4 linked regions of the Schizosaccharomyces pombe genome follow. Changing the gene in region 2 together with the main gene of any one other region gives a genetic interaction. Each region holds a gene or a part of one and is shown on either strand. Other genes may lie near its edges.

Region 1 (6,458 bases), on a different chromosome or scaffold from region 2:
TTAAATAAAATAAAACTTTTAAGAATTGATACTGAGTTTTGATCTTTAAATTTAGTGGAGATACTCATTAAACAGCCTTATACCTAAATGAAAACTGAAAGGTTTACTGCGTTTACCTAGCATGCTTAGCAATGAATTAAAGGATTGCTCAATTACCTAGCTTTCTGAATATTACGCTAGCTTTCTACTCCCTTGCCATTGTAAAATACTTTTCTGGTCATCCCGCTGCTTTTCAATGAAACTGCTATTCATTGACAGCCTCTCAACAAAAGATGGGTTTCTCAAATTAAATGTACAAAAATTATGCATATTTTATATTTATTTGAGCACAAAATCACATTATATGACCATGCCGTGGATATACAACAAATTTTACAACACCAGGTATTTCTTTACGGCTTAAGGAAGTTTTAGTTATGACTGTAAATTGTACAGCTGTGAATATATTACTTAACCATAGTATACCCTTTAAACCAATGCAATTACACTTTTGCAGTAGATATATATCCAGATTCTACCACGCTGGCTATAATATTCTCCTCTGTAGAATAATAATTTGACTGCAACACCTACCAACTTCTGACTACTGTTTGGGCTTTAATTTCATTGCCTACTACAATGCGTCGTTCTGGGAGTAAAGAATCAACAATTGTAAGTAATCGAGTTATGTTTTTAGCTGTTAACATCCTTTTTAGGTTTATTCAGCGTTATCCTTGGCTCAGGCAGGACGTGGTCCCGAGGCTCTAGCACTTTTAGAACCGTTAAAATCGACTCCCATCAACAGCTTGGAACTTTTAGACATTATACAAGCTGTTTATGATGATCAAAAGAAGGGTAAGTATAATTAGGTTCTATTGAACAGATGAACATAAATGTTGATAGCACTTTGGTCGTATTTTTTATTTTGAATATTCTACTATTTCCTTGAGATAAAGGCTTTAGTTATTTGATCGGTTAAACTTTGCTTAAGAAAAACGATCTTTGTTCTTTTCGTAGCTTGATGATTCAAGTGCAACGTTTTATTTCTCAATGGACTTGTTTTTACCCTCTTACTTTTAAGTTATTAACTATTTGAAGGAGAAGAATCGTTTGTATTTTGGGAAAAGTTCTTGCAAACTTATGGAAAGCAGGAAAAAAACTTATTAGCTTACTTCAAAGCATCTATTCGCATCAAATCATTGTCTCACCAAAGAAAGGTAAGATCTTAATTTGTTTTTTTTTTACTAACTCCTCAGGCTGCTGTAGAATTGCAAAAGAACTTTCCTTCTAGGAAACATACCTTATGGGTTATCTCATCTTTGTATCTTTTGTCCAAAAAGTCGGAAAATGAGGTTGAACAACGTTTGCTGAAAGCACTAGCTGAAAAAACTGCTAAACTCATTTTCGAAAAACCAACAGGTTATATCGATTCTTGTGAGGAGTTTCATCTTTATTTAGACGTGTTGCTTTTAGTGGGAGACAAGGACAGAGCGTTAGATGCTTTAATACATCAAGATGCTGATCGCTTTGTTGATGCTGACGCCGACCTTCTTTTGAGGAAGCTTGAATTGCTTGCTTCCTGTGCGCGTTGGGATTCTTTATTCACGTTTTCGCTTTCTCTTTTCCAAACTGGGAATACTGATTGGAAGGTTTGCAAAGCTTTGCTGGATAGTGCTTCCAATGATGATTCAAAGTAAGTTTTTTTTTTTGCATTATTACTAACTTCTCCATAGATTAGTCCCATTAAAGGATTGTATATTGAAAGCGTTGTCAACCAGCAGCACAAAAAGAAATCTTCATTTACTTTGGATTGAAGCCAGCGCACGGTTTTTTCCTGAAGAACACGAATCAGCATTACTTGGCTATATCAAAAAGCTGTATATGAAACCAATTGTTTTTGAAGATTTGAGACCTTATCTATTGAAGCTGAATGTTGATGCACAACACCGGTTATTAGATGCATTTAAGTTGGCTGATCTAGGTGAATCCAATGAAGTAAGTATTTATTCATCTTTCAATATTAACTCGTCGTAGTCTCAAAAAGTCGATAAATTATATGCTGAGGTTTTGCTTCTGAAGATCCATTTTTTGCTCTTTGAGTCGTTTACTGCAGAATCGGTTGTCGATTACGTGCGTAGATGCTTCGTCGCATTTGAAAAGGGTTTGTCTTTAAGTAAAGGCTTATTACCCACTGACTTTACGCACGGTTATGAAGCTTTGTTATTAGCAGTTCATTCATTGATATATATGTGGGAGGGGAATAAGGATTTAAAACCTGCCGAAAAACAAGCTTTAATTTTTGACGCAATCTGTCTTTTAGAAAAAGGCATTACTTATAGTCAACATAACTTTCATTTAAAGCTACCCCTTATTCGTTTATATCTTCTTCTTGATGGAGGCTTCCCTGCTGCTGCTAAAGTTTACGACACTATGTCCATTAAGCAAATTCAAAACGATACCCTTGATCATTATCTCTTGACTCGTGCTACTACCTATTATCCATCTTCTGTTACTTCTCACTATATTAACTCAAGTCTCAAAATATATGGTTCGAATGAGTTTGAAACACCAGAGATGATTTCTATGGCTTATGAAGATGGTGCTTACTCTCAAATCGAAGATATGCGTAATTTCCGATCCCGTTTAGACCACAGTACCTGGAAAAGCATTTCTTTGGTCGAGCGGGCTAGGATACATTATCTTACCGCTTTTAAACCACCCAAACAGTATCTTCCCAAATGTTCATCTCCGAAAGATAATCGAGATTTAAAGGTCTTTGCAGATTATGGATCTGATAAATTGCCAACAGTTGAAGAAAGTTTAAGAAATTCGCCTAAACCGGACACGCTTTGGATCCATTTGACTGTCATTGGTCATTCTCTCGTTCAAGACAGCATAGTAAACGGCGATTTTGAAAAGGCCGTTTTAAGTGCTAAGGAAATGGAAGTTTTGTGCGAAAACAATGATTTATCGAAGCAATTAACTTCGGAAGAAATTGTTCATATGAAATTATTGATCCAACTGGGATTACTTTCGGTAAAGGTCAAGAACGGAGACTACGAAAATTCCTCGTTCGAAACGATTGAAAATTTAATTGAGTCATTCGATTATGAGAACTCCACGCCTTTAAGTCAATTGACAAAGTACACTGAAGTAAGTTTACCAAACTGGTTTTTTTTTTTAAAAAAAATGATATAAAAATTTCTAAACTAACCGAATTATAGATCATAAATGACCTTATCACTTGTCTAAACAGCTTCCTATATCACGTGTCAGCTACCAAGAAAAAAGAATTTACCAGACAATACCAACTTCTTAAAAACATCAGCAGTAACAAATTAGGAAGTATCTCTGGAATTACGAAGCATAAAAAGAAGGCCGCCAGAAAATATGTATCAGAATTGTTGTCAAACTCTTGGCTGAGCAATTTATCTGAAACTCAGGTACGTGATGATTATAGAGCATTAAAATTATAGGCATGAGAACTAACTTCCTAATAATAGGTTCCTTACGATCCGAAGTTTGCAAAACAAGTTGGTGAAGGAATGATCGATTCATACATTCAAACGACGGACGCAGTAAGCAAGCTTCCAAAATTTGTAAAATTTTAGGTAGATAATATTTAGAAACTTATAAATATGAAAATTTTTTATAATCGTTTGTTGTTTAGAATCTTGCTTCTTTCGTATGCAGAATTCAGAGAAGATGTGCCTGAACCTCTCTTAAAATAGACGTAAAGCATTATAGCTGATACCACACTTAGAGAATACCAAGTGATAATATATTCTGTATGACTGTTGAAAATTTCAACTTTTAGAGGATGACCAAGAGGCAAGCCTCTCTTAACATGATCGGCTTCTTGCAACGGTGTAAGCGATGGTTGTAGTTCTGTTATCAAAATGGGGAGAGTTCCTTTCAATTGTGCAAACTCACGAACATTTAAGAAGTAAAAAGAATTTTTTTCAGGCTCATTCTTCATCATAAATCTTGGCTTATCAGTATGTTGTCTCAAAAGACCTTCAATGACCACTGGACCTTTAGGTAAAGAACTAGGATCTCGAGAAGACTGTTCAGCAAATGATCGAGCAATCCATCCTCTGTTGACTAAAATTCGACGCCCATCGTCTAAAATAAATGGGGTTACTACGTGATAGCCAGGTTGGCCTTCCTTCGTTCTTGGACCGACCAACATTTCTTGGTCGTGACAAAACACACCACGAAGCAAAACCCTAGTCCACTCAAGTTTTTTTGTATCTTGCTCTCTAAGTGATTATGTTAGCTTAATGTAAAAAACGACAGTTCAATTGCAAAACGTGCAATTTGTGTATATGTTAACTTAACGTACGTAACAGTTTTCGGTAATAAAATTGCGGGCTGTTGAAGCCTTTCCGTGAGTGTATTGATGATACCCATTTTCCATTCTCGTCGCTTTACCTGCCAAGTTCCTAAAGCAAACGTGACAATTGGAACGGCAGAAAGCAATCCAACTAAAAATTTATTTTTTTTAGGCCTCACAGTTGTTCCTTCAAGAGTACTCAAATAGCGAAAGACACACGGTCCACGCTTTGAGAATGTGAATTTAGTAGCACTTTTCCACCAAAACATGATAGACAGGAATCCAAGATTCAATCGAAACAAAAATAAAAAGAAAAGATTAAATCCTAAAAGGAATCAAACAATTGATATTTATATTCAATTCAAAAACTTTTAAAATGTTGCAAAACGGAGTTAACTTGAATGGCCTCTACTAGCAGCAAAATCCCACTCAGGTCTTCTGATACTACTGTAAAGCGTAAGTAGAATAGGGCAATTGACTAGAATCTTCTAAGCGAAAACGGAATATTGCTATAAAGAAATAAAATTTTCTTAGTCAAATCCTTCGACAAGTAAGATACTGTTCAATACGGGGCCAGTTTGTTGATGTTGACAGCTAAGAGAGACGCGAATGTCTAAGTAGGTACCTTTGCGTATTCACTCCAAGCTTCTACAAGTCACATGTCTTTTTTAAGTAAAGGAAGCGAAATCTGCGCTATAGTTAAATAATATAATAGCTTAACATTTGTTATCTTTCGATAAAGCAATATATGTTCTTACGACGTATGTTTTAAAGTAAACAATCGTCTTTATTAGTATGAAACTATGAATTGGTTTTTATGAAAAGCTAGTTGAGCAAAATTAGCGGTTTGGATTCGACATCTGAATAGAATTTTAGTTAAACTTGCTCCCACACTACTTATGCCCAAAGTTTTACCGAAGTTGACAGTTTAATCAACAATTCCTGAATTTGCTTATACTTGGTGTATCCTTTCTAAAAAAAAACTAGAAGATTTTTGTTACTGTACTTGAAAATACCTATTATAATCTGTGGCTACAACATCACAAGGTCAGAGTCTATACCCATTGTTCTTGGCTACAAAAGATCAAGTCCAGAAGGAGCTATCCATAACCAATATTACAAGGCATGCAAACATATTTTGAGAGTACATCATGACTTGTTAGGCAAGTAGTAAGAAAGACGGATATAAAAAAATAGCCTACAGCACCCCGGATTCCCATGTTGTCTCCAACCATAGTACTAACGAGGCCCTCAGACGCTTAACTGCAGTGATCGGACGGGAACTGGTGTTTTCGCCTAGGTATGGCCGTAGACATTAAACATTCTAGTTTATAAATTATAAAGGTTAGAAAAAAAGTTTACCGGTAGTTTATAAGTTGTTTGAAATTAATGGGTAAAGGTTTTTGTGCTTTTATTTTAGTTTATTGCAAACATAAATCAGAGCTTTAAAGTTTGTATTTAGTATAACCATACATTAAGAATTGCGAAACAACTGCAGACTCCAAATTTAGACTGGAAAACGTCTTACTCGGAAAAGAGATTTTGCTGCTATTTTATCATTATTAACACTCACTTTGCTATTAACGTTACAGTCATATTAATATCATACCCAAAAATTTGAAATCTTTTTTCCGCATGAAAAAGAATATAATATAATGTATATGCCTCCACTCGGAATCGAACCAAGGATCTTCGCATTACAAGTGCGATGCTGTACCACTAAGCCATAGAGGCAGTATCGTCGGAATGTATTTATTAAATTATATATACTAATGCTAGTTTTAATACTCGACAAGTTGGCTGGTCAAAAAGTAGTTTCTTAATCTGCTGTTACTGATCGCTTTCGACAATAACAATTAAATAATAGTGCAGTTTATTTATTTAAAAGTCTTTTGTTGACATAGGATTTTGTTCAAGATAAATGGTTGAATATAGTTTAGTAGAACTACAACCTGCAATCAGGCAAAAAGCATGAACAAACTAATATAGCTCTAAAGTAAAAAACTATTTGAATCATTTGCTATACAGATTATTAGGCACCGACCCTTCAGTTATTTGACTACAAATGTTAACATGTCAATAAGTTAGGCATTCTCTGGTTTTCTTGATGTAAATAAACTGACGACATGTACCGTATCTACGT
Region 2 (2,911 bases):
AAATTTATTGATTGATACGTATATGACTACGGAAACATCGGCTAATCCTTCCATGAACCGAATGACTATATGTGTCTTATGCTGATTTCGGTGAAATAGACGAAATGAGTAAAAATAAAAATGAAATGCTATTTTTTTCAAAATAATATATAGGTTAACAGTAGCAGGATTAACAAAATGAAAAAGTAAGCAAAAGCGAATGAGGGATAATCACAATAATACACTTTAAGTAAACAGGCAATAGTAATTGCTAAATTTATACTGACGACATTAAGGAAGTTTTAAATATGAACAGGCCATTTTGGCAATATAGTGCTTATCTTTGAAACTTGGTTAAAGTAGAAATTAACATAGTTCGTAAATTAGCATCATTTGTAAGATAAACAGAGATAAAACAGGAGAGTACAAAAAGAGAGAGGAATAACAAATAAGGCGATCGACGATCGCTGCAAAAGTCAGGAAATATTTCAGGGAAAACCCCGCTAATGCAAAATATATAAGGAAATTACTGAGGCTCTTCGGACCGGCTTTGTTTAGTTTCTTTCATGCTAGCAGATCTTGCTTGTTGCTAGAGTAGATGTTAGAAAAGTGACTATGAGAATGAAATTTTGGTATGAGTGAATGAATTGTTGCGCCTTCATTGCTTGAGACAATTTAAATCTCTAAGCCAACAAGGAAGTAGAAGTACACGTATCACCATTCAAATAAAGAATTTTTCCTTACCTCTCTGTATTTGGTGAGAGAAATCTTTAAAACTTCGGCATAATTTTCGAACCCAAGGGTATTTAAAGCCAATAAAACATCTTCACCAGTAATTGTCTTTCTCTTTTCTTGAGTGCATTGTTCAGATGCTATTATATGGTCAGTAAATAACTATACATGAGGCTTTTGCTATTGATTCCATACCTTCACCAGTAACAAAGGAAATAAACTCACTAACGCAATCTTGGACGCAGTCTTTAGCTTCCTAAAAAGTCAGACATTAGCACTGCAACATGAAAATTACAAAACAAAAGAGAAGAACGCACTCACAGCGACCTACTCCGTCACTAGCAATCAATCAATCGAAGAGACTGACAATGCGATTTTTCTCAATTCAACAAATCATGCATACCTTGGAAATCTTGGCGTTTTCGGGAAGTGCCGATTTCATGATACGCGCGACATTTGCAATTGGTAGGAGATTGGTGTAATCCAACCCGTCTGCGCTCATGATAATTAAATGTATCTTTTACTTGTATAATTTAATTTTGGCGAGCAGAGAAACCTCAAATAACGAAAATAAGTACACAAACCCCGCTAAAATTGGTTTGACTACTAGCAAGCACGATCCTTGACAAAAATCGACAGCTGATAACCTATTCTCGAGCCTTTGTGGAGGGAACTAAAAAGAAATCCAATAATTCAGCAGGAGATGAAGATCCTAAAAGACGAACAAATCAAATAAAAAGAAATGACCTCCTTTTGAGCAATGAACGAGGGTAATGGCTTAACGTTAACTTTCTGCTTCTTCACAAAAGAAAGTAAACGTCTATCTACTTCCAATAGGGAAAGAAATCAGTAGTTGGTTATTGCGATAAAGAAACACTATGTTATTGCAAAAGAAACAGCAATTTGTTTCTACAGGTTGCAAGCAATTCGCAGACTGACTGTATCGGCCTATAATATTATTTAAATAGTGCAGTTGTAAAGTGGGAGATTAACAAGAGATACTGAATTCGAGTGGTACGATATATCGGTTTCCGACTGGGGCATCTAACTACTATTCCACCTACTCCAGCGGCGAGCAATACTGGATGGCTCTGAGCCTTCGACGGGGCTGCGCTATTTAGGTAAGTGGGGTGAAAGGCCGAAATGGGGGCCAAAAGACTTTCAAGTGGCGTATAAGGGAAACGAGCAAGACTTTTGGAAGCTTTAAGGTCCCAAGTGGGATGAAGGTGAAGGCGAGGCGTCTTCTCTTGAAGCCAAGGTTTCCCAGTAAAAAGAAAGTGGGATGCCATCTAATCCCTATGTCACTTTTACGCTGACAAAATAATCGTGATATACGTTAAACAAGAGGAAAGGAGAGACTAGCAAAAGAAGTGTTTTGTCATTCAAGCGACGATCCTTCATACAAAAAGCAAATAAATAAATCCTTTTATAAATATCATAAACATATCATTAGAAAACCAAGAAAAATAAATAATAATATGAATTAATTTAATTCAAAAAAAAAATATAAATATAAATATAAAAAAAGAGTAGAAGCGATTGTGGAAACTGACAGCGAAATAATTATGAGACATTTATTTTACAACTTACAGAGCAAATATTAAGTTCGTTTGAAATAGTTCACAATTGGTATTTACCGTTCACATCTGATAACTGAAGAGGAATTCAATGTTATTAAAATCGTGTTTGCGAAAAAGTTAATAAAAATAACCTAGCAAAGAAGATTCGTAGAAAAATGGAATAACAAGAAAGTAAATGTATCTTATGGCAAAACTGACAATCCAGTGTTTTTTTTTTCTACATTTCATTCATCTTCACTCTCCATTCGCACGCATACCTAAATATGTTCCCGTAGGGGAAAATTGCGTATACTGAATTGTTTTGTTCTACAACTCGCATCTACTCAACTATATTCCCTACTTGACTATACTTCTGCACTTCAAAAGTCATGTGTATCTATCCTAATCTTTATATTATACAGTGGAATGCACTATAAACCTAGTTGTATTTTTATTTCTCATTTCCTATACATCAATGATATATCAGATTAAAAGTTTGCTCCTCTTTCTATCCCATCTCACCCATCATCACTTGCAACATTGGCAAGGGTAATTGAAGGCGATGCGAGCTGTGTGTTGTCAAAAGAACGAATATGTTTTTTGCCTTTACCATCATTCCTACTCTTCCGTCCTCTCGACGT
Region 3 (4,599 bases), 2.0 Mb from region 2:
TTTTATACCTGAACACTACTTCTCAATTTGCTTAGCTGTCTATTTAAATATTATGTTATCAATACTCATCATATATGTACTTGCTCTTGCTTTCTTGCTATAAGCTATAAATGTAGTATTTTATGGTTTTATGTAAATGTCTAACGAGTTTTGCGCTGTATACCTCGTTTAAAAAGTCATTTTCCTTAGCGCATATGAAAACTATAACATCGCGATTTTTATTACAAAAGAACTTTTAAAACAAAATCAAATAAAGTAACTTTTTAATTAAAATACCAATCTTTTGCTACAACTTCCAATACCATCATCACCTTGTCCTGTTTGCGTAGATATCTGTCGATAACCAACCTTCGTCGCCTATTTACCATCACCTTATTTTAACTGTGTTTTGAAGTTGAACGTAAAAAAAATTTCTGAAATGTCAAAATCGCTTATTGTTTCGTCGCCAGGAAAAACGATTTTGTTTGGGGAACATGCCGTTGTATATGGAGCTGTAAGTTTACCTAAGGTTTAAAGCAGATTACATTAGCGAGAGTTTTTAACAGGCTAGTACTGGATACAGCTCTGTTATGCATATATGATTTCTTTGTAACATAGTATTTGCAAAGCGAACACCACTTTTAACTTTGACAGTCGTCGCAAATGTCATTCTGCTATAGCCATGCTTATTTTTGATTCTAATCTTAAGCCATTTTAAAGCGAAAATATGGAGATCATTTAAATTTTTATGCTAACTTTCTAGACTGCGTTAGCTGCAGCTGTATCGTTACGGAGTTACTGTAAATTACAGACGACTAATAACAATGAAATAGTAATTGTGATGAGTGATATAGGGACCGAACGCCGATGGAATCTTCAATCGCTACCTTGGCAGCATGTAACAGTGGAAAACGTTCAGCACCCGGCATCATCTCCCAATCTGGACCTTTTACAAGGATTAGGAGAGCTATTAAAAAATGAAGAAAACGGACTTATTCACTCAGCAATGCTTTGTACCCTTTACTTGTTCACGTCTTTGTCTTCTCCTTCTCAGGGTTGTACTTTAACTATTAGCTCCCAAGTACCTTTGGGTGCTGGATTAGGTAGTAGTGCTACTATATCAGTTGTTGTCGCTACAAGTTTACTACTAGCTTTTGGTAATATTGAACCTCCTAGCTCAAATTCTCTTCAAAACAACAAAGCACTTGCGTTGATAGAGGCTTGGTCTTTTCTAGGTGAATGCTGTATTCATGGAACACCAAGTGGTATTGATAATGCAGTAGCAACAAATGGAGGACTTATCGCTTTTCGTAAAGCTACAGCTCATCAGAGTGCCATGAAAGAATTCTTAAAGCCTAAAGATACCTTATCTGTTATGATCACTGATACCAAACAACCAAAAAGTACTAAAAAACTTGTACAAGGAGTTTTTGAACTGAAGGAAAGACTACCAACTGTGATTGACTCAATAATAGATGCAATCGATGGCATATCAAAGTCTGCCGTCCTCGCATTGACTTCGGAGAGCGATAAAAACTCCTCCGCTAAAAAGTTAGGAGAGTTTATTGTTCTTAATCAAAAACTCTTAGAATGCTTGGGTGTATCCCATTATTCCATTGATCGCGTTTTACAAGCCACTAAGTCAATTGGATGGACGAAGCTTACAGGTGCCGGTGGTGGAGGTTGTACGATTACTTTATTAACACCTGAGTGCAAAGAAGAGGAATTTAAGTTATGTAAAGAATCACTATTAGCCCATAAAAATTCTATTTACGATGTTCAATTAGGTGGACCTGGTGTTTCAGTGGTAACCGACTCAGATTCATTTTTCCCTCAATATGAGTCTGACTTTGATTTTAAAAAATTGAATTTACTCAGCAAATTTAATAAATATTATATTTAAAGTTTTTATGTATAATCAAATTTTCATAACTGGTATATATATGAGTGGCTTGATAATGAACGCGGCTTGTCGTTCACCAACCACCACAGTAGAAGCTAGTCTATAAGAGTCGTTGTCCGTTCTTTAGCAACACTCCTTTCCACTCTTTTATATATCAACTATATACCAAATTTCATCTTTTCTTTCTTTTTTTAGTATTAGACGCGTTTTATCTAGTATTTTCTAAAAAAATGCGTACTACTTTCGCGACCGTCGCTTTAGCTTTTTTATCGACCGTTGGAGCTTTGCCCTATGCTCCTAACCATCGCCATCACCGTCGTGATGATGATGGCGTTTTAACCGTGTATGAGACTATCTTGGAGACTGTTTATGTTACCGCAGTTCCTGGTGCTAACTCATCTTCCTCATATACTTCTTACTCCACTGGTTTAGCTTCTGTTACCGAGTCGTCCGACGATGGTGCTTCAACGGCTTTACCTACTACCTCTACGGAATCTGTGGTTGTAACAACCAGTGCCCCTGCTGCTAGTTCCTCTGCCACTAGCTACCCTGCCACTTTTGTTAGTACTCCTCTATATACTATGGACAACGTTACTGCACCCGTATGGTCCAATACTTCTGTCCCTGTATCAACTCCCGAGACATCTGCCACTTCTAGTTCTGAATTTTTCACTTCGTATCCTGCTACCAGTTCCGAATCTAGCTCTTCTTATCCTGCTTCTAGTACTGAAGTTGCTAGCTCTTATTCTGCTTCTAGTACTGAAGTTACTAGTTCTTATCCTGCTAGCTCTGAAGTTGCTACGTCAACTTCATCCTATGTGGCTCCTGTCTCGTCTTCAGTTGCTTCTTCATCAGAGATATCAGCTGGCTCTGCTACATCTTACGTCCCCACTTCCTCATCATCTATTGCTCTTTCTTCTGTAGTTGCAAGTGCCAGTGTTTCTGCTGCTAACAAGGGAGTTAGTACTCCTGCTGTTTCTTCAGCTGCCGCCTCCTCTTCAGCTGTCGTTTCCTCTGTTGTCTCTAGTGCCACTTCTGTTGCTGCTTCTAGTACTATTTCCAGTGCTACCTCAAGCTCTGCATCAGCATCTCCTACTAGTTCTTCAGTTTCTGGCAAGCGCGGTTTGGCCTGGATTCCTGGAACTGACCTTGGTTACTCTGATAACTTTGTCAATAAGGGCATCAACTGGTATTACAACTGGGGTAGTTATTCATCTGGTCTGAGTTCCTCTTTTGAATATGTTCTCAACCAACATGATGCCAATAGCCTTTCTTCAGCTTCTTCTGTTTTCACTGGTGGTGCTACCGTCATTGGATTTAATGAGCCTGATTTGTCCGCTGCTGGAAATCCTATAGATGCAGCTACTGCAGCTAGTTATTATCTTCAATACTTAACACCTCTTCGTGAATCTGGTGCCATTGGTTATTTGGGATCACCTGCCATCAGTAACGTAGGTGAAGATTGGCTTTCTGAATTCATGAGCGCATGCTCTGATTGTAAGATCGATTTCATTGCTTGCCATTGGTATGGTATTGACTTTAGCAATTTGCAAGATTATATTAACTCTCTCGCCAATTACGGTCTCCCTATTTGGCTTACTGAATTTGCTTGCACCAACTGGGATGATAGCAATTTACCTTCATTGGATGAAGTTAAGACTTTGATGACCAGCGCTCTTGGCTTTTTAGATGGACATGGATCTGTTGAGCGTTACAGTTGGTTTGCTCCTGCTACCGAACTCGGAGCCGGTGTTGGTAATAACAATGCCCTTATCAGTTCCTCTGGTGGATTAAGTGAAGTCGGAGAGATTTATATTTCTTGAACTCCTTAAATTTACACAAAATGGGAAATTATCTTGTGAGATATAATGGTAATTCTTATGCTTTTTTTTCGTTCTTTAAACTGTCAAATACTCTTATTTCTTCTTGCTCTGAAACTCTTTTTTATGATATTTTGTTTCATGGTTTTTGTCGCTTTTTTTTGAATACTCTGCCATCTATCAGATTGTTTAAGCTTTCTGAACTATGCTTATAGGAGATGTGCTTCTTATTACATCGATCTTTCATTTATTCATTCGTTTATTTTACCAACCATGAAGTTCATTGTGTTTGATGTCACAATTTTTAAAGCGTGTATTCAATGAATATGCTGCGTGTTTTAATTTAATACAGTCGTTAAATGTCTTTTAAATTTTATTAGTAATCTTTTCTGTAAGCTTTGGAACTCTTGATAAAGTCGTTTAACTTTATTTGCTGACATTGTTGATGATCTGTAGTATAAAGGTAAATAATAAGCGAAAGTCTCGTCTATAAAATGAAAACAAATGCATAATTGACTGCTGTAATGATAAAACAACTATTTCTCCATTGCGCCATTGTGGGTGGTTTGATATCTGGGTGTTCTTTACATGCTTGTTTGCCTCTTTTCAAAAGGAGGTCTTAGCAACTTTGGACACACGAACAAGAAAAGGCTTATTGAACTATAGGATATTAGAAGCATGAGCAATTTAAGAGACATCACAAACTTAATTAGCAGATATTAAAAGAAAAAGTTATCTCGAATCTCTTGCGAAAAATTTATTAAAGTAACCTTTTTTTTGCATAGTTCTTTGCAGCAGATTTAACTTACGCCGAGTAATCTAGTACTAGATTCTTAACCTGCTCTACTCACTGTAATCATAAAAAGAAACTCTACTCATGCCCCTCTTACAAATGTT
Region 4 (7,134 bases), 2.5 Mb from region 2:
GGGTCTTTTCCCATAAGTGCATCTCTGTGCAAACTTGATTTTTCATATTGATAGCGAGAAGGTGCAAAAATTAGCTTTTCGTGGGTGGAATCAGTATTTTCAGACATCGTGGTAAACGGGATTGGAAAAGATACTTTTCCTCGTTTCAGGCAGTAACTGAATTTATATGAGATATCTGTTTTGATATATATATAACGCGATGAAACGACTCAGTATCACGCACTAAAGAAAATGCTAGCAAAAGACGTGTCATACGGTACAGCATGCTAGAGCTGGTTAATTTTAACACAAATCGATCAAATTCTATGTCTTTTTAAATTGCCATGAACGATACCAAGAGTTACTGTCATGATACCAAAGTTTCAAGCATTCTTAAGCTTATCCCTGAAATTGTAACTGATGTCAATTGGGCACTTATTAAAACAGTGCTTCTACAGTAGCGGGAATGTTTAAAAGTATTATGTAAACTGAAGTTTTTTAACAACTATATGCCATGGTAACAACATTGTTCTCAACTTAGATCATCTAGTAATGTGTGGAACCAAATTTTATTACTTAGCGGTAGTCATAACCATTTCAGCAATGTTTGTACAGGAATGGTCCAGTGGTTAAAAGTAAAATTGAATACGCGATAAGTAAATTCTAGACATTTTAATGCATAAAATTCTAAGTTCTATATTAATCTATAAAAATATTTTACATAGCATCAAAAAAGATGCTTAAAATTATTTCAAGGAACGAAATAAAGATACATGCCAATAATCAAATATAATATATAAGAATAGCCCAAATCTCATCCAATTAGCACACAAATTTCAGTCTAATTGATAGAACTATTAATTGAGTGTTGGGTACTAGCATTTCCTAAAGAAGCAAGAGAAGAGTGACTAGTATTCAAAGAACGACGTTTAGGTTTCTGACCCATATGGCTATTTACCAAGGAAGAAATACGATTAACAACCGGTAGCGGGTAACGCTTGCGTTTCAATTGTTCCACAATTTCCATTGCCTTTCGACCGTCATTTACACTTAGGTAGGCACGAACCATATTTTCATAGGTGCTAGGTTCCTTACCAGACATACCCTCGCATTCTAAAAGGTCGAAGTAATAACGTGCTTTGCTAATCATGCCAACCTTAGTAAATCCCTTTATAAGGGCATTTACAATGTATGCATTTAACGAGACATTGTAACGCTTCATATCAGAAACAATTTGAATGCCTTCAACAATGCGGTCATTTGCAATAAGAGATTCAATTTGGGATTGGAATAAGTTCGCATCTAGTTGAATTTCCCCGGCATCATGTTTGGCAAGAGCATTCATGTAGCAACTCGTGGCTGCCTGAACATCCGAAACAACGTTTCCTAAAATATGAATATATGCAGCATAATGCATAGATAAAATTGGCACATCTGTACGCTCCATAAGTTCAAGAACTGCCTTTACGGAACCTACATTGACAGGCTTCAATGTACCATAAGCATCCATCAATAACTTATAAGTATGAGAAGAAGGCTCTATGTCGGTAGCACATAGCCTATTGTAGTAAAATAGCGCTTTTTCACGATTAAACATTGTCTGGACCTCAAATTGTATCATAGTGTTGTATGGAGCAACGCGAGGTTGATAGTTAGGCTGATTTTCCATTTCAGCAAATAGCTTCTCAGCAAGACTCTCGTCACCAATGCGACAAGCAGCATTAATTACGGTACCATAAGTAACGCTGGTAGGAAGTAACCCCGATTCCTTCATTTCTTGAAACAATTTCCAGCACTCTGTTGTGCGGCGAGCTCGACCTAATTTAGAAAGCACTGCATTATATAGAAAAACAGAAGGTTTCACATTATGGCGTTTGGTCTCCTCAAAAATATTCAAAGCGGTAGTGGCATCATCAGTATCTCCTCTCCTTGTTGAGTTGTTAATCAAATGTGCGAAAGTTGAAGCACGAGGAATATATCCAAGCATTTTCATATTGTCACAAAAAAGATTTGAAGATTTGAACTGACGAGCAAAGGAAGACGATAAGATCATGGCGTCTAAAATCAACGCCATAAACCAGTTCGCTTTTTCAAGAGACTTCGTACTGATTTTCCTATAGAGGTGCTTGGAATGCTCAAAAACACGTTGCACAGCATCAAAACGTTTATTTTTGCTTAAAACAGATATTAACGTAGGATAAACTTCAGGATGCAAAAATTTATTGGTTTCAATAAGCTTACCGAACTGGAAAAACAATATATTAACGTCCACCTGCTCAGGTGATGCACTTGTTAACATTTTGGAAACAAGTGAATTTATACTTTGATCGATGCATTCCAGGTCGTCAAGGCAATAACAAACTTGCGATATATCCGCTAAAATTTTCTGTCCATTGTTATCAGTAGAGAATCCGACGACTGCTTCAGAGACGATGTCATCTCGAACGGATGCAACCAGCATTTCGTCTTCTTTCAGGTATGTGAAAGAACGTAAAACAACATGAACGTTTTTGAAAGATGCTTTATACGTTCCATTGGAGTAACATTTTAACAAATCAGTGAGGATAACCTTAGAAGTGAAAGTACCTTCGGTTTGCACGACATTGAATGCTGCATATTCCAGCAAAAAGCCAAATACTCTAGGAGAAATGAGCTCCGGTTCTAAGCGACGGCTAACTAAGTAACCCGTTATATGTCGTAACAACGGAGTAGTAAAATCAACTTGAGGGAAGTTTACTTGGTTCTCTAACGTTGAAACCAACGATAAAAGAACATGCACATCTTTTTGTAACTCCTCCGTCAACACTTCCCAAAATCCATTAAGGATTGATAATTGAAGAGCAACACTATTAGAAGATGGTGCAGTATTGTTACCAAGGGAAACTTTTGGATCAATGTGTTTACGAAGTAGACGAAGTGCAACATCAATCTTTCCGTTCTCAATGAAAGCTTTGTAAACGTTCGAAAACGTAAAGTTAGTGTGAGAAGACACAGAACAAATAACGGGATATGCATGTAAATGAAGTAGATCGACATTCCCTGATCTGGCAAGCAAGTCCAGATAACGGAGAAGCACTGCATGACAGTCGCTAAATCGAGATAATGTATATTTTCTCACAAAAGCAATAGCAAACTTGTCGTTGTTGTTCAAACAAGCCGCCTCCAATATGGACGATAATGTAGACGGACTCGCTTTGTAAGTGCTAATCTTTTCTATAGCCATACCAAGCCATTCAGCAGATTCCTTATAATGTCCTAATTGAGCCAATCTACGTAAAAAGCAGTCTAATATTGAAGACGGTATAACTTGATTGCTATCAGCCTTTCGGAAAAAAGATTTCATCAATGCACTTGCTTCAACATGGTGATCTGTGTCAAAATAAGCTTCCATTAAACCTTCCCAAGAACGCACATTAGTCATCGAAGTGTCACTAGTTGGATCAGATAAGTTATAACGCTCTAAAAGTTGAAAACAACTGTTGAGCCTTTTAGCTCTACCGAGAGCTCTAATTAGAGCTGGGAGTAAATCAGGATGGCCGTTAGCTTCAATAGTGCCAAGAGGAACGCACTCTAATAAGGAATCCAATTGGCTTTGCGTTCCATACAAAGAAACACTCTCAATTAAAATAGCATAAAATTGAGGAGAGTATATGAGATCGTGATTAATGAGGCTAGAAGTAAACATGAAAACAGCAGTTTGCAAAGGCATCTCGGATTGCAGATCGAGCAATTCAGGCTGTATTTCTTTTGCAATACTCGGATGTGCGTAAATAGTGCGCTTAGAGAGTGATTCAATTTTTTGATGCACGAATTTAGCGCGACGACAAAGAGCGAAAATGACGGTTTCAAATGTAGTTACGTTTGGAGAGATAAACGAATTAAGCATATCGACATAAACCTTGATAATTTTTTGAATGTTTTTTGATGACGACAAAAAATAGTCGTCCGTACTCATGCATTGCAAAACAATATTGTACGCTTCCAAAGTCAATAGTTCAGGAGAGTTTCGAACAAGCTTATACAGATCAAAAGTATGAATGGATAATTTACTACTAGCAAGTCTTTTCAAAAATTGAATAAACTCATTGGCAGAAGTGAAAGAATTCAGAGAAATTGAAGCAAAAGAAGATTCCAAAGAATTAGGAGTTAAAGTATCCAGTAAAGGGTCCGAAACTTCGGACTGGGTTTCAGTTGAGAGGGGAGATGTTGCGAGAGAGTTAAATTGTTGTTCATCATCTACATCACCGCATGTCGAGTCACATAGTGACGAGAGAGAAGCAGGTAAAAGAGAAGCAGAAAAATGTGAGCTGTTAGGGTTGAGATTGTCAACAAAGCGATGAAGGGACTTGCCTGGAGGAGATTGCTTACGCTCAGAAAGAGAAGGATCGAAGTAACCAAGCTGAATACTACGGTCATGGAAGATAATGTCATCCTCAGTTAAGAAAAGACGCTCATCCAATGAACCAGGTGCTTTCGTGTTAGAGAGAGAGAGGTTCGTTTGGGCTTGTTGTTGTTGAATCCAATTCGTCATATTTCCAAGCTTCAAAGGAGGACGATGAACGGCAACATTTTTGCCAAGTGTTTGTCTGGCAATATTTTGCAAAAACCAAGCTTTCGTGTAAACCATATTGAAACTAATATTAAGCGTAAATGGGATAATAGTCTAGAAAATAAACAAAAACGGATATAAACAATCTAAAAAAAAATTAGACCAAAAAGAGACACAATAAATAGAAAAAACGTAAAACAAATGAAATGAATAATAAAAAGAATAGTAAACACCCAAAGAACACAAGAAATGAATAAAAAAGAGAGAAAAACGGAAACGATATGTATAGCTAAACGGTATAGCCGACCACCAACCAGAATATCCACTAACTCAGGGAAAGAAGACTAGCAGGACAGACTATAAAATAGTACAGCAAAGGTTAAATGAAATGGTCACTGAGATTTGAAATATAGAATAAATCAAGTGAATGTGTTATGTACGCCTGGTAATGACGAGCCTATCACCGTTATCAGATGAACTGCGTTATAGACCAGAATAAGAGTGAAATATACACAAAGCAAACAAAGGAGTGCTAGTTGGAGGGTACGTAAAGATTCAAGGATTGAAAAATAAAAAGATAGAGCAATCCTAGCACTCGCAATTGAATTATCAAAGACAAATAAAAATTCCAATAAAGTCAAATGAAGAAAGCGATTCGAATACTTTGCTTATAAAGTAGAATTTTTACAATGTTTTCAAAGTACGATCGTCTTAATGGCAAGTGGAGAAGAGTATATATGACGATTTAAATCTGATCAAGCGTCAGCAGTGGCGAAATGAAACAAGACGCCGATATGAAAATTACAAGAGGAGGGTAATTTAGTTATATCAAATTGAAGCAGGGGAGTGGAATAAATGAATGAAGAAATAGATGGGAAAAAACAATAAACCTGACGAAATCTAATACACCGTGCCAAACAAAAGAGGATTGGGTAGAAAACCTAGGTACGTTAAACCGAATAACAAAAAAAAGGGAGAGAAAATGATAGAATAATTAAATGCTTAGTTCATCTAAAATGCGGAAAAAGAAAAGCGATTTGAGCTTCAAGAATTTGTTGAATGAATAACAGATATGTCTGTAGCTAATGAATCCTCAGAAAAGGGCAAGGAAGTAGATCTATAAGGGAAGTGTGTGCTTGATTAATTAAAACACCAAGCACAAGTTTCGTGTGTTTAAGCTTCCAACAGGGAAAGATGAGGATGGCGACGCAAAAAAAAAAGCGGAAATTTTTCACAATCAACAAAATTATTTCGTTTTGTTGAAAAACGAGCTGTTACAGGGCAATAAGTGTGAAAATAATCTATTTCAACAATTGTCTAGTACGTAGTAACAGAGTATTCAGTATGGCTTTCGACAAGTTCAAGTTTAAAATTGAACGAGTGATATTTGTAGTTGGTTGGTCGTAGCAATTTTGTGAGACAATGAAGTCAAAGTCACGTTACCCCGAATAAGAAGTCTTAAAGATAAGGAGCTGCTAAATATGTGGTAAAAGATATTCTGCACCCGTTGATAATTCGACGAATTTAGCGAATGTTAGTTTGTCAGGATGTCAGGTATGTATATATATGGAAACCAATATTTTAGCGTGGACCAAACGAGCCTCGTCGGTGAAAAAAGAAGATAAAAAAAATTGTGGATCGATTTTTTTGAGACAAGTTTATCGTCCCAACGCAAATTCGAAGGCGGACGATATTGAGATAGATTTGAGAAGCGGAACTAGCGCCAGTTTTGCCGCAGCTAGTAAAAGGGGACAGGTTAGGAACACATTTTATCGGGTAAGGAGATTTTCCAACAACTCCTAAGTTGGGACTAAGCAAAATTCAGGAAGGGTGGGAAATTACAAAAATAGCACGCAAGAGATGAGAAGTAAGAGTCTATTGTGCTAGCTGAAAAATCCCGTAGGCAGACAAACCTACGAATCGCATACAGGTGCAGAAATAAATAAATACATGGCGAATTTCATTATTAGAGAAATACGTGAATCCTAAACTTTAAACTATACTTCGCGCCTAAGAAAACATTTTTAGACAAAACAAAATTCATTGACCTTAAAACGGGTACTTTTAAAATAAGTGCACTAAAGAATAATCAAGCTCCTCTGCGCACAGTATCTCAACCTTATTAGAAAGAAAACTTGCGGAATTACTCATTAAATAACCAGATCATTTAGAATCACGAAGTATGGAGGGAAAACAAATGGCATTGGTATGATTTTAAATACACAAGCCTCCATTACTGTCTGAGCCTCACTCTCTGGAAGCCCTCCAATCGAAACGTTACTTTATGGAAAGAAAGGCATTATAAAATGTATCGATGGGGTATGCTGTGAGTTGTAAATGATCATTGCTGACATATATCATGTTGATCTGATAAAAAGTCATATGTTACAATGGTAGAAACTCGAACGAGTGCTCGGTATATTGAATATACAGCACTACTTTGATATTCTCGGTATAGATCGGCAATTTGCAATATAACAATTTATAAATGGTAGGTCACTGTAGTTCAATATTTCAAGAGTATCTAGGTTGCCATAAAGGTTAGCGTGGTATTGAGAAAAGGATGAATATTATCAAGAATTGACTCCGTAGATCAGTCTTTATCT

What was found.
Region 1: mutations in php3 (region 2) and shy1 together harm fitness more than expected from each alone (negative genetic interaction), as found in Schizosaccharomyces pombe (one large-scale study listed by BioGRID).
Region 3: mutations in php3 (region 2) and asl1 together harm fitness more than expected from each alone (negative genetic interaction), as found in Schizosaccharomyces pombe (one large-scale study listed by BioGRID).
Region 4: mutations in php3 (region 2) and ppr5 together harm fitness more than expected from each alone (negative genetic interaction), as found in Schizosaccharomyces pombe (one large-scale study listed by BioGRID).

Annotation. Positions count from the first base shown.
Region 1 is NC_003423.3:1,503,544-1,510,001, reverse strand, and holds shy1 (cytochrome c oxidase assembly protein Shy1), read right to left. Parts: upstream 4,905-6,458; 5' UTR 4,585-4,904; coding exon 4,325-4,584; intron 4,242-4,324; coding exon 3,629-4,241; 3' UTR 3,591-3,628; coding exon of another isoform or gene 3,483-3,590; 3' UTR 3,423-3,482; coding exon of another isoform or gene 3,204-3,422; 3' UTR 3,133-3,203; coding exon of another isoform or gene 2,014-3,132; 3' UTR 1,975-2,013; coding exon of another isoform or gene 1,713-1,974; 3' UTR 1,673-1,712; coding exon of another isoform or gene 1,236-1,672; 3' UTR 1,197-1,235; coding exon of another isoform or gene 1,078-1,196; 3' UTR 835-1,077; coding exon of another isoform or gene 696-834; 3' UTR 652-695; coding exon of another isoform or gene 619-651; 3' UTR 551-618; downstream 1-550. Other genes in the region: NatB N-acetyltransferase complex regulatory subunit Naa25, read left to right, coding at 619-651, 696-834, 1,078-1,196, 1,236-1,672, 1,713-1,974, 2,014-3,132, 3,204-3,422, 3,483-3,590.
Region 2 is NC_003424.3:2,143,983-2,146,893, reverse strand, and holds php3 (CCAAT-binding factor complex subunit Php3), read right to left. Parts: upstream 1,214-2,911; coding exon 1,115-1,213; intron 968-1,114; coding exon 907-967; intron 852-906; coding exon 724-851; intron 569-723; coding exon 506-568; downstream 1-505. Other genes in the region: SPOM_SPAC23C11.07 (uncharacterized protein), read right to left, coding at 1,668-2,000. UniProt on the Schizosaccharomyces pombe protein: Belongs to a complex that binds to the sequence CCAAT located upstream of genes involved in mitochondrial electron transport.
Region 3 is NC_003424.3:191,402-196,000, reverse strand, and holds asl1 (O-glucosyl hydrolase Asl1), read left to right. Parts: upstream 1-1,950; 5' UTR 1,951-2,112; coding exon 2,113-3,705; 3' UTR 3,706-4,073; downstream 4,074-4,599. Other genes in the region: mevalonate kinase Erg12, read left to right, coding at 419-493, 743-1,882.
Region 4 is NC_003424.3:4,605,104-4,612,237, reverse strand, and holds ppr5 (PPR repeat-containing protein Ppr5), read right to left. Parts: upstream 5,421-7,134; 5' UTR 4,607-5,420; coding exon 821-4,606; 3' UTR 501-820; downstream 1-500. Other genes in the region: pdx3 (pyridoxamine 5'-phosphate oxidase), read right to left, coding at 1-107; SPOM_SPAC1093.07 (uncharacterized protein), read left to right, coding at 6,095-6,331. UniProt on the Schizosaccharomyces pombe protein: Mitochondrial RNA-binding protein that acts as a general negative regulator of mitochondrial translation.